Linked DNA regions of Callithrix jacchus. The protein of the gene in region 2 interacts with the protein of the main gene of each other region in a pairwise test. Links are inferred from orthologs where the notes say so. Each region holds a gene or a part of one and is shown on either strand. Other genes may lie near its edges.

Region 1 (4,235 bases), on a different chromosome or scaffold from region 2:
CCAAGGGGTGAGGGGTGGACAGGGAAGGAGACTGTTCTGGCCAGAAAGGAGATAAAATCTGAGTGAAGGAGGCTGAAGGACAAATACTTCCATTCAGGATCTAGCACTGGCAGGACTGTTTGGTGTGTAGGAATTTAGAGCTGGTTTAGTGACTACAACCTGGCCTTAAATTTAAAAAGGGGGTGGGGGTGGAGCATGGCAGGTGGTGAACTGAGGAATTTACTGTGATCTGTAAAATAAGCTTAAGTACTAACTCCATTGTGGGCAGGGAGGCAAGAAACTTCCCTTTTATGAGGTGAAGATAAGCCTCTTCAGTCTGAACTTTCCTAAATTCCACTTCTTTCTTTTCTATAAAACAAGATGATAAAGAAAATGTGGCACATATACACCATGGAATACTATGCAGTCATAAAAAAGGATGAGTTCATATCCTTTGCAGGAACATGGATGAAGCTGGAAACCATCATTCTCAGCAAACTGACACAAGAACAGAAAACCAAATGCTGCATGTTCTCATTCATAAGTAGGAGTTGAACAATGAGAACATATGCACACAGGGAGGGGAACATCACACACTGGGGCCTGTTGTGGGTAGGGGGCTAAGGGAGGGATAGCATTAGGAGAAATACCTAATGTAGATGACGGGTTGATGGGTGCAGCAAACCACCGTGGCCTGTGTATAGCTATGTAACAAGCCTGCACATTCTGCACATGTACCCCAGAACTTAAAGTATAATAATAATAGACAAAGTGAAGTACTTTATGCTATCCATCAAAAATCACTAAATGTATTTTACATCAATTTGTGAGCTTATTATGCTAGAAAAGTTTTCCTTGGCTATTTCATATGGATATATGCTCTCTCCTCAACAGTTTCTGCTTTTTGTTTTTAGAATCTCACATAGTCCGTATCTTGTTTTTCAGAGTAGATACTATCGCTGTGGCTGGCTGAGTTCTCATCTCTCTGCAACCAAGGCTAACTGGTTCTTAGGTTACCTTGATGCCACACACCGAGAGTCCTTTCTGGATTTAGTGATTGGTGCTGCTTATTTCCACCTTCTCTGAGGATGGAGCCTCAGAATAGAGACCAGGTTGAAAAATCAGTCTTTTACTTAGAACTCTGAAAACAGGTACTACATCTTATCCATCTACAACCCTGTGACCCAGAAGCCATTAATTCGACATTACCAACATACCTCCACACGAGGACTTCATAATCTTCAATGTGAGAATTGAAAAAAAAAAAAGACTTAAGCAACTTTGGTGGGGAGGAGAACGATAACCTAAATTTTAACTGTCAGAAAATCTCTAACAGAAAGATCCCAATAATTGCCACTTGGGGGAGATGGAAGTTCATGAATTGCTCTGCTAATCCCTGAGGCAACAGAGCACTTTAACTGGTTTATTTATTCAAAGCTGGAATTTGGACGTGTGAACCATCAAGCTTAGGGAAATTCCTGGATGAGGAACACAGCCCTGGGAGAAACCTACCAAAGATGGAATTAGCACCTTGGCGAACTGCCTTCAGCACAAAGAACTTTCTTTCCTTGTGCGTCTTAAGAATTTACTTCAGTTCCCTTTTGTCTGAAGCAGAGGAGGCCAAGTTAAACCGTGAAGAAGAGTGCTTATTTGTCACTACCTGCAAACACATGTAAGTGCACAGTTTAAGCAGCGTTAAGACAGCTCTCAGATACTTGGATCGGAGTTTGGGTTGGTGTGGGTGGGCCTCAGTTGGTACCTTTCCTGAGGAAAGGAGGGAGGTTATAGAGTTTATCTTAGGAAATTCTGAGTCATAGGTATCACTTGAAGTGACTAGTGAGAGGGAGTTTGGACAGGTTTAGAAAAGCACCCTGTGGAAAACAAAGGAGAGAAAAAAAATTTTCGCTGCAGGAGTAATATTGTAGCCACATGGTGGCGTGCTGTGGGCTTTATTTCTCCTTTCTGATTCCTTCGGTGATGCTTGGAACCACCGGCAGGGTAGGGGTCCTGGCATCAGATTTTGGCCAGCGGAGTCATCAAGCAATGTAAATGTTAGGGGTCCATTTTCTACTTCTGCCTGGTCTTTTTTTCCTTCCCAAGATTGCCAATAAAGTGTCATCAGCCGCCGGATGCAGCGGCTCATGCCTGCAATCCTAGCATTTTGGGAGGCCAAGGTGGGCAAATCACCTGAGGTCAGGAGTTCGAGATCAGCCTGGGCAAAATGGTGAAACCCCATCTCTACTAAAAATAATAATAATAATTTAGCAAGCATGGTGGTGTGTACCTATAATCCCAACTACTCGGGAGGCTGAGGCAGGAGAATTACTTGACCTGGGGAGGCTGAGGTTGCAGTGAGCTGAGATCGCGCCACTGCACTCCGGCCTGGGCAGCAGAATGAGATTCCATCTAAGAAAAAGTGTCATCAGCACAAGAATTTGTCCCGCTTCTACTCCAAGAAGGGACAAAGTGGACAAAGAAATGTGGAACTTAAAAAAACAAATCTAGAATGCACTTTTGTGTATAAGAAAAGACATAAACATAGCCAAGATATCAGGTTGCACCGCCTGTGTGTTAGGCTTTCCATTTCAAAAGCCCTCCATCCTGACATAGGGATGACCTAAGGGCTCTAAGATTGCAGCTAGGATAAGGACCCATGGATTCCCACACTCAGTGCCCTATGCCTTCTGGAAGTTGCTGACACATGTTTGTGAGAGACATTCAGAAAACCTGGAAGCATGTGATGTTAGTGAGACATTTTGGATTTAGAGTGAGAAGTCCAGCTTGAGTTAGCTTAAGCAGAAAAAGAAATTTGGGGATCACACCCTTGGGAAGTACAGGGGTGGGTAAAGCCTCAGGAAGGGCTGGATCCAGGTACTCTGCCTCCATCTCTTGGCCTGATACCACTTAGTGTGAAAGCCTCTCTCCCAACTTCTTTAACATTTGGGGGAATTTGCTCTGACTGGGTCACATTCTTTCTCCTAGATCAATTACTGTGTCTGGGGAGGTGAGGCAATATGATTGGCTAGGTCTAGTGTGTTGTGATTGACGGCCCACCTGAGACCACCTAAAATGGGGGAGAGGATGTTCCTCAGAGGAAATGATGCTGAACAGACAAAAGCAGCATGAATCTCCAGGCAAATCATTTGTCTGTATGGACAGGAAGATCAACAAGCTGAGAAACAGGAAGTGATCCATTAGCCAATAGTAAAATTAATCCCAATTGCTGTTTTGCTTCCTTAGATTCTAACATAGGCCTAATGAAAAGGCTCTGGATTCTTTTGTAAATAATTTGGGAAATGCCTCTATTAATTCAAAGAGGATCTTGGAACTGTTTTCTATTCACAAATGCCCATAAAGAGGAACCTGAGTTGTAATCACATGCTTCTTTTATTCCTACAATAAAGAAAGCACCAAGAGTTCAATATTGAATGCCGAAATGAAAGAAAACATTCTGTTTAATCATGAAAAGAACCAACAATTGCATTTGAGTCTAAAAGTCCTAAAATTATCCCTAGAAACCTCTTAAGGTCTACATATTATTTGCAAGGCTCCCTTAATGCAAATGATCTGCTTTCTATGTTAGTCATCAGTTATATAAAACACATGCCCCAGCATGAAACATAAACGAAAACAATAAAATTTCAAGAAACCAAGGGCCAAAAATAGCTATAGTCAATTGCTGATAAGGTGTGAGTGGAAACAGTGGGACATTCTGTTCTGAATGACAATTATCCTTGATCTTCCAGGCTGAGAGGATTGTAGGAAGTTGTTGTGTAGATGGGCAAACTTACCTAGGCCACAGGCTGGCAGCCACATCCACACACCATTCTGAGCCTAGGAGAAAAGCCCTGGGCCCAGAGGTGAGGTGGTCTGGAAAGGGCACCCTTTGGAGTCATGAAGCTCCAACTCTGGGCTCTCTGTCAGCTGTGTGATATGGATATCATGTTACTTCTCAGAGTCTCCACTGCCTCATGAGTGAAGTGACAAGAATGCTGACATTATCTCATAGAGAAAATGAACATTTCTATATTGATCTAACTCAGGAGTCAGAATATTTATTCTGTGAAGGACCAGAGAGTAAATATTTTGGGCTTTGTAGCCCATAGACTCCATGGCAACTACTGAAGTCTACATGAAAGCAACCACAATGTGTAAATGAATGGATGTGGCTGTGCTCCAATGAAAGGTTATTTACAACCTGAAGGTGGCCCTCAACTTTGGCCCAAAGGCCATAGTTTGCTGACTTCTGGTTTAAT
Region 2 (3,648 bases):
TGATTTTTCCTCAAAAGCATGAAGGCCAGAAGGCATGAAATGACATAAGCAAAGTGCCAAAAGGAAACAACTGTCAGTCAAGAATTCTGTATCCAGCAAAACTATCCTTTGAAAATGAAGGTAAAATTAACACATTGGCAGATAAAGAAAAACTGATTTTGTTGTTAGTATATTTAGCCTGTAAGAAATACTTCAGGCTGTAAGAAAAAGACATCAGGCAGTAACTTGAATTCACATGAAGAAATAAAGAACACTGATAAAGAGTAACTACACGGGTAAATATAAAAGACAGGAATAATGTATTTTTCATTTTAAAATAATGAAAATCACAATAATGTGATTCTTCTTTTTCTTATGTGATTTAGGACCACTATGTAAAGCAATAATGATAAATCTATGTTAAGGGGCACATAATGTATAAAGATATAAATTGTGACAATAATAGCACAGTAGCATAAAGGGGCAAGGAATGAAGGCTATAGAGGAGCAAATTTTTTATATATTATTAAAATTCAGTTGGTATTAATCTGAACTAGACTGTCATAAATTAAGATGTTAATTGTAATCACCAAATTAACCACCACTAAGAAAATAACTAAAAATATATATAGTAAAAGAAATAAGAAAGTTAAAAGGGGACGCTTTTGCATTTAACACAAATGAAAGCAGTAATAAAGGAATCGAACAACAACAATGCACATACATACAAAAAACCAAAAAGCATAAAAAACAAATAGCAAAATGGCAGAAGTATGTTCTTCCTTATCAGTAATTTCATCAAATATAAGTGTATTAAGTTCTCTAATTAAAAGACAGAGGTTGGCAGAATAAAGAATATTTAACAATGGGTTAAATATTATAGTATAAAATTGGAGTATAAACTCAATACAATAAAAGCCCAAATGTTGTGTGTGTGTGTGTGTATGTGTGTGTTTAAGATGGAGTCTCTCTCTGTTGCCCAGGCTGGAGTGCAGGGGCATGATCTCAGCTCACCGCAACCTCTGCCTCCTGGGGTCAAGCGATTCTTCTTCCTCAGCCTCCAAAGTAGCTGGGACTACAGGTACACACCACTATGCCCAGCTAATTTTTGTATATTTTTTTAGAGATGTGGTTTCACCATATTGGCTAGGGTGGTCTCAAACTCCTGACCTCATGATCTGCCCACCTTAGCCTCCCAAAATGCCAGGATAACAGGCATGAGCCACTGAGCCCAGGCTGTAGTTTGTTTTAAAAGAAGGTTTTTCAAAGGAAAAGGAAACTGTAATTTAAAAATTACATACAAAACAGACTAGAATGAAATAGAATATTAATAGTGATTATTTCTGAACTGTGAGTTTATGATGATTTTAGTTTACATCTGCATATTTTCTTATGTTTTCTAGTTTAATAGAATGATATTACTTTTATCATTAGAAAAATATATTAATTACAAAAATACTACCATTATACATACTGTGATACAGAGTGGTATCACAGACCTCATCTGACATGTCTAATAGCCTAAATTAAACCTATTTCCAGAAATAAACATATTTACTAGTTTTGTGCTATTTTCCAATAGAAATTTGTCTTCTTAGGTACTGACAATTATAAGGGACCATGATACAGAAATCTTTGAGTTATCAAATAAGTATTTAAATGTATACTTAGAAGTGACAGCCAACATATTTAATACTTCATACTGCATGAGCACTGCATCAGTGAAAGCTGATATGGGTCATAGCACTGGAGAAGAGTCTTGGGGCTGTCTGTTGAGTCGGGAGTTCCCCTTTCATTGGTGGATCATAGAGGCCCTAGGGCTAAGGTGAAGGGAAGCAAGGAGACAGAGGGCTCAGAGTAGTAGGTGTTTACTAATGAGAATGGAAGTACAGCATTTTAACATAACAATTAGTACCACTGTATTGGTACATAAGAGCTGAAGTGGTTAACCAGTAAGCCAACCATTCAAAATTATCACCTTTGGGCCAGGTGCAATGGCTCATGCCTGTAATCCCAGCACTTTGGGAAGCCGAGGAGGGTGGTCATCTGAGGTCAGGAGTTTGAGACCAGCCTGGCCAACATGGTGAAACTCCATCTGTACTAAAAATACAAAAGTTAGCAGGGCATGGTAGCGTGCCCGTAGTCCCAGCTTCTCAGGAGGCTAAGGCAGGAGAATCACTTGAACTTGGGAGGTGGAGGTTGCAGTAAGCTGAGATCATACCACTGCACTCCAGCCTGGGAGACAGAGCGAGACTCTGTCTCAAAATAAATAAATCAATAAATAAATAAAATAAAAATCACCTCTGATACTTATAACTACATTTAGAGTTTGTCTTAAAGAAAAGCCCCACACACCAGCCACCATATAGAGCCTTGGTTGTTACCTCTGCATGGGCAATCCTATAGTGACAGCCCAGGGCCAGCTCTAGTCCTCCTCCTAAAGCCATGCCTTGGATTGCTGCCACCACGGGCTTCACATTTCTCTGTATTTCATCTACTACACTTCCCAGTGATAAGCCAAAGGTCCTAGGAGCGCTGAAGCCATGAATATCAGCACCTAAGGGCACAAAGACAAGGAGGAAACAGAGTTGAGAAATATCTAGGCATTGTTATATAATGATAAGTCACCTGATACTCCAAGTTTTTTAGTTTGTTTTATTTATTTCTTAATTTTTCTTTTAGAGTTCCTGGTAACTCCTAAGAAGTCTCAGCCTTCTTTGGGCCCTTACACTTCATACTGGGTTGAAAACAAGTATCTTGGAGAATACAGAATGCTATGAGAGGAAATCCTTAGATCTTTACCAGGAGTTCTGTAATTTTGTAAAATCTGTCTTCCCATATAATAAGTAGTAACACTATCTTTAAAAACATTAAAAATCTCAGAAAAGGGGAATAGGGATTCTCCTCCAAAGACCATTATTCTGAGACTGAGTCAGCCCCTCTCATTTTTATATGTGTGATACTGTTAATCAACCCTATTCACAGCAATTTAGCTCCATATCTTTGTTAAAAGCATCAGTCATTACAATATAAAGTATCAGGGTAACACATATGCATATTTGTGAGTTATGTTTAGTCAACCAGCTTAGAATTATATTTTTGTAATTGATTTTTATCTTCAATGAACATAATATTTATTACTTTTCTTGCTTATAAAAATAACATGTATTATGGCAAATTTGAAAAACACACAAAATTAAAAAGAACATGAAGATCACCCTAAATATCACCATACAGCCATAATTTAATATTTGGGGGAATTCTTAGTTTTTTCCCTATGGGCAGGTATTACCACCTGAGGTCTGTCTTCTGTCAGATGAGTAGCAGCATTAGATTCTCGCAAGAGTGTGAACCCTATTGTGAACTGTGCATGTGAGGGATCTAGGCTGCACTCTCCTTATGAGAATCTAATGCCTGATGATCTGAGGTGGAACAGTTTCATCCTGAAACTATCCCTGCACCTCCACCCTCCCAGGCCTGCACCCCTACCCCCTACCCCTGTCTATGGAAAAACTATCTTCCATGAAACCAGTCCCAGGTAACAAAAAGGTTGAGGACTGCTGATTTAGAGCATACTGTAGAATCATTTTTATATTTTCCTATTTTCACATAACATTACACCTAGTAAGCCTTTTCCTACAGCATTGTCTAGTCCTTGAAAACGCTAAG
Region 3 (3,674 bases), on a different chromosome or scaffold from region 2:
GACAGGGCAAGGTATGTCCACAGGGTGAGAATCATTCCTCCTCAGGGTCGACAAAAGCACAGTGGAATTCTGCAGAGTCCAGGAAGTTTGGAATTGCTAAGAAATTTGCTGCTGCAGACAAGCCACGTGGGCCCTTAGCCTTAGCATGACCCCATGGAACTGGATGTGAGTGACAGAAGAGAGACGCCTGCGTCCAGGACACACTGCACAGGAATCCCTGGGACTCTCTCTGTGTCATGTTCCTGGCTATCAGAACAGCTCACCAGCTTTCTGCAGAGGCCCGCTGGACCCAGGGTAGCAGCAGGGAACCGGAAGGAGCAGGAGCATGGCCATCGGGATAGAGTACTCACAAGACCTGGCTGAGCTGGTGGAACTGCTCCAGAGCTTGGCGACACCAACACTGCTGCTTGTCACTGCCGCACCCTGCACACAGCGGGCTCTGCAGGAGTCGGTAGTAGCGGCGGCGGGCATACCGGCTGTCCAGCTCCCCCTCAAGTTCCGGGTCTGTGCCCCCTTCTCCCTTCCTCTTACTCTGCATATAGACTCTCAAGAAGCGCCCATACAGACGCTGGATCATTTCTTGGAAGGTTCTGGGGGTGCTAAAGAACAAGACTCCGCGCAACATAGTGTGGACCTTTTCTCGCAGCCCCTGAGCACCAGTGCCCATCAGCAAGCCCAGGCGAGTCCATTTCTCCAGCAGCTCTAGGCTCCGCAGGTAGGGATCCAGGCGGCTCTCCAGCAGGCCAAAAGCATCAAGGAGCAGCAGAAGGCACTGGGGCTCATCCGCAGAGTTCTCGCGCTGGGAGATGGCATTCCAGAACTCAGGGGAGATGTTGGCCTGCAGATCGTTCTGCAGCACCTCTACGAACCACTCCTCCAGGACCGAGTGCAGGCCGTGGCCCCTCAGAACCTCCACCGCCGCCCGGAGCTCGTCTTCCTTTGGCGGGACTGCACCGCTGGTCCGTGAAGACACCTGGAGTGCAGAAAACCATGAGAAGAGGGGAACACAACGTAGAGGTGGGGAGAGGCGGGAAGGTTAGAAGCGGAGGGGAGGCTGCAAACTCCTATGCCCCTTGTCCGCGGTGCACGGGTGTTTAGCCGAAACTAGGGAAGGGCTGCCAGCGGAGCCGAACGAAATGGAACGGTGGAAGAAGGTGGCAGGACAGGACAGAGGCAGGTGACGAACAGAGCCGTTTGAACTCGAGGGTGGCCGCCCCAAAGCGCGTAGGGTCCCGGGAACTCCGCGCGGGGCCGCCGCTCTCTTCCCAGGCCTCACCAGCCCCAGCGCAGCCGGCGGCACCAGGCCGGTGCTCACGGTATTCCAAGCCAGTAACAACTCCTGTCCAGGCCGGGGGTCGCTGCCCCCCTGCACCGCCGCAGCTGCCGCCGCCGCCATCTGCACCGCCCCTGCCCCTTGATCCGCTCTGCTCCGCTCGGCGCGGCGCGGCGCGCGGCGATGACGCACATCTGGGGGCGGCGCGCAGCGATGACGGACACAAGGCGCGCAGCGATGACGCGCTACTTCGGCGCGTCGTCGGGAAGCCGTGCGCAGGCGCGGGTAGTGCTGCTGCCGCGGCGGTTGGGGCGGCGGGGCCCCGGGCGGCGTTGACCATGACCCAGCAGGGCGCGGCGCTGCAGAACTACAACAACGAGCTGGTCAAATGTGAGCGGCGCAGCCGGGGCGGGGAGGTCGGGAGGGGCGCAGGGCCGGGTTCCCGGCTCGCATCGGGGTGCCCCCTGGCCCCGCCTCGCTGCGGGCATCGCGCGGCTTGAGCAGAGCCCTCCGTGCCGGGGGCTTGGTGTCCGCGGCCCGAGCCCTCGCTAGCTCGCAGGCCCCGCGCCGGGCGCTCTGGGGTGGTGCCCGACTCTGGCTTCCTCGGGCGGAAGGAGGCCCGCCCTCCGCCGCCGCCCTCCTCCCCTGGGCCCACAGCGCCGCCCGTCCCGGCCCCACAGGCATTGAGGAGCTGTGCCAGAAGCGGGAGGATCTGTGCCGGCAGATCCAGCAGGAGGAGGACGAGAAGCAGCGGCTGCAGAATGAGGTGAGGCAGCTCACAGAAAAGCTGGCCCGCGTCAATGAGAACCTGGCACGCAAGATTGCCTCTCGCAACGAGTTCGACCGGACCATCGCGGAGACGGAGGCCGCCTACCTCAAGGTGGAGCTCGGGAGGCCAGGCGGAGCATCAGGGGGATAGCCACGCAGGGCGTCAGGACTGGCTAGGCCTCCCAGCTGTGGACAATCTGTGCCCTGCTGGCATATCGGGCTGGGGCAGCGTGGCCTGGGGCATCCTGGGTCCTGGTCTTTATCTGGTTCTCGCTAATCGTGTGGTTCTTTCTGCTCAGAGTGTGAGGAGCTAGGTCTTGGGCAGAGCACCCAGCATGGGCCAGTGCTAGCTTAGTCTGGCTTTGAGGGTGGGGAGGAAGTGCTTTGGGTCAGCTTCAGGAGGGAAGAGGGCCTGTCAGCCCGTCTGCCAGTCCGCCAGTCCCCTTGGGCTTCTCCCTTCCCCCAGCACAGGATCTGTTGGCTACAGCACCCACGGCCAGATCCTAGCACCTGAATGTGAGGACAGCTGGGCCTTAGGGCCTTCCCAATAGGTGAACAGTGACGAGCTTCTTTCTCAATTCTCTGGCCCCAGATCCTGGAGAGCTCCCAGACTTTGCTTAGTGTCCTCAAGAGGGAAGCTGGGAACCTGACCAAGGCTACAGCCTCAGACCAGAAAAGTAGCGGTGGCAGGGACAGCTGACAGGACCACAGGCGGGCCTGCCTCCGTGCGCCCCTCAGCTCAGCCAGGCAAGTCCGTCCTCAGCGCGTCTTTCATCATGGCAGCAGCTGCCTTCTCTCAACCTCCACTGGCATCGGTGACAAGCCCAGGACACAGCCCACCCGGGGGGGTGGGTCCTGGCTTTCTGCTCACACAGGCTATGGGAATGGTGGGCTCCAAGTCAGCTCTACAAGGGGCCTGTCTCTGAGGTACCCACTCTCCTGGACTGCCAGGGAGGCCCTGGTTGGAGTCTGAGCATCATGGGGGTCCCCCTACCTTGTCCCTCTTCAGCCAGGGCAGGCACAGGGGTTCTCCACCCCAGAACCCAAACCTCAGGGCTCACCCCTGTGGCCTGTGACTGTCAATAAAGATTATCTTTGTAAAGATCGGTGCCAGCCTGCTGCTTGCCTGTGTTAACAGCGTGGGACTGCCAGATACCCGCAGAGCCAGAGCCTGAGGCTCCCCCTTGGGAGAGGAGGCAGCAGAGTCTGGAGTGGCCTCTCTGTGATTGCCCTACTAGCCTCAGGGACACCACTGAGGGTGCCCACCCTGCCCAGGCCAGCCCCACCCTTAACCCTCCCCAGCAGGGCAGCCGATTCTTCCCCTGACTGGCCCCCCTCCTCTCAGGAGCTCTGCTCACTGGTCCTGTTCTCTGCCACACCTTGGCATCCAACATAGGACCCAGCCCAGAGAGACAGCTGGGGATGCCAAGCATTTTCACCCCTGCCTCAGGCCCAGGTCTCTCTCAGCAACGACTGGGGGGCTTTACACCCCCTGCCGATTCTTCAGCTGCAAGTTCTGCTTGGCCTGAGGACACCACTACTGCCGCCAGGGCCTGCTGTCTTCTCCCTGGCCACACCAGGTGCTGCCCACTTCCATCCTTTCATGTGCCCCAGGGCCCCCTGTCTTGTCCCT

The links. The genes of interacting proteins can lie anywhere in the genome.
Region 1: the proteins of EHHADH (region 2) and MID1 interact in binary tests that used the Homo sapiens proteins (3 or more experiments, as listed by UniProt). The two-hybrid records come from large-scale screens. The link is inferred for Callithrix jacchus from reciprocal best matches to the Homo sapiens genes EHHADH and MID1.
Region 3: the proteins of EHHADH (region 2) and SSNA1 interact in binary tests that used the Homo sapiens proteins (3 or more experiments, as listed by UniProt). The two-hybrid records come from large-scale screens. The link is inferred for Callithrix jacchus from reciprocal best matches to the Homo sapiens genes EHHADH and SSNA1.

Annotation. Positions count from the first base shown.
Region 1 is NC_133524.1:11,281,303-11,285,537, reverse strand, and holds the start of MID1 (E3 ubiquitin-protein ligase Midline-1), read left to right. Parts: upstream 1-1,408; 5' UTR 1,409-1,651; intron 1,652-4,235. UniProt on the Homo sapiens protein: Has E3 ubiquitin ligase activity towards IGBP1, promoting its monoubiquitination, which results in deprotection of the catalytic subunit of protein phosphatase PP2A, and its subsequent degradation by polyubiquitination.
Region 2 is NC_133516.1:14,207,598-14,211,245, forward strand, and holds part of EHHADH (peroxisomal bifunctional enzyme), read right to left. Parts: intron 2,537-3,648; coding exon 2,364-2,536; intron 1-2,363. UniProt on the Homo sapiens protein: Peroxisomal trifunctional enzyme possessing 2-enoyl-CoA hydratase, 3-hydroxyacyl-CoA dehydrogenase, and delta 3, delta 2-enoyl-CoA isomerase activities. Catalyzes two of the four reactions of the long chain fatty acids peroxisomal beta-oxidation pathway.
Region 3 is NC_133502.1:185,598,646-185,602,319, forward strand, and holds SSNA1 (microtubule nucleation factor SSNA1), read left to right. Parts: upstream 1-1,536; 5' UTR 1,537-1,611; coding exon 1,612-1,663; intron 1,664-1,953; coding exon 1,954-2,153; intron 2,154-2,633; coding exon 2,634-2,741; 3' UTR 2,742-3,147; downstream 3,148-3,674. Other genes in the region: ANAPC2 (anaphase-promoting complex subunit 2), read right to left, coding at 351-973, 1,277-1,396. UniProt on the Homo sapiens protein: Microtubule-binding protein which stabilizes dynamic microtubules by slowing growth and shrinkage at both plus and minus ends and serves as a sensor of microtubule damage, protecting microtubules from the microtubule-severing enzyme SPAST.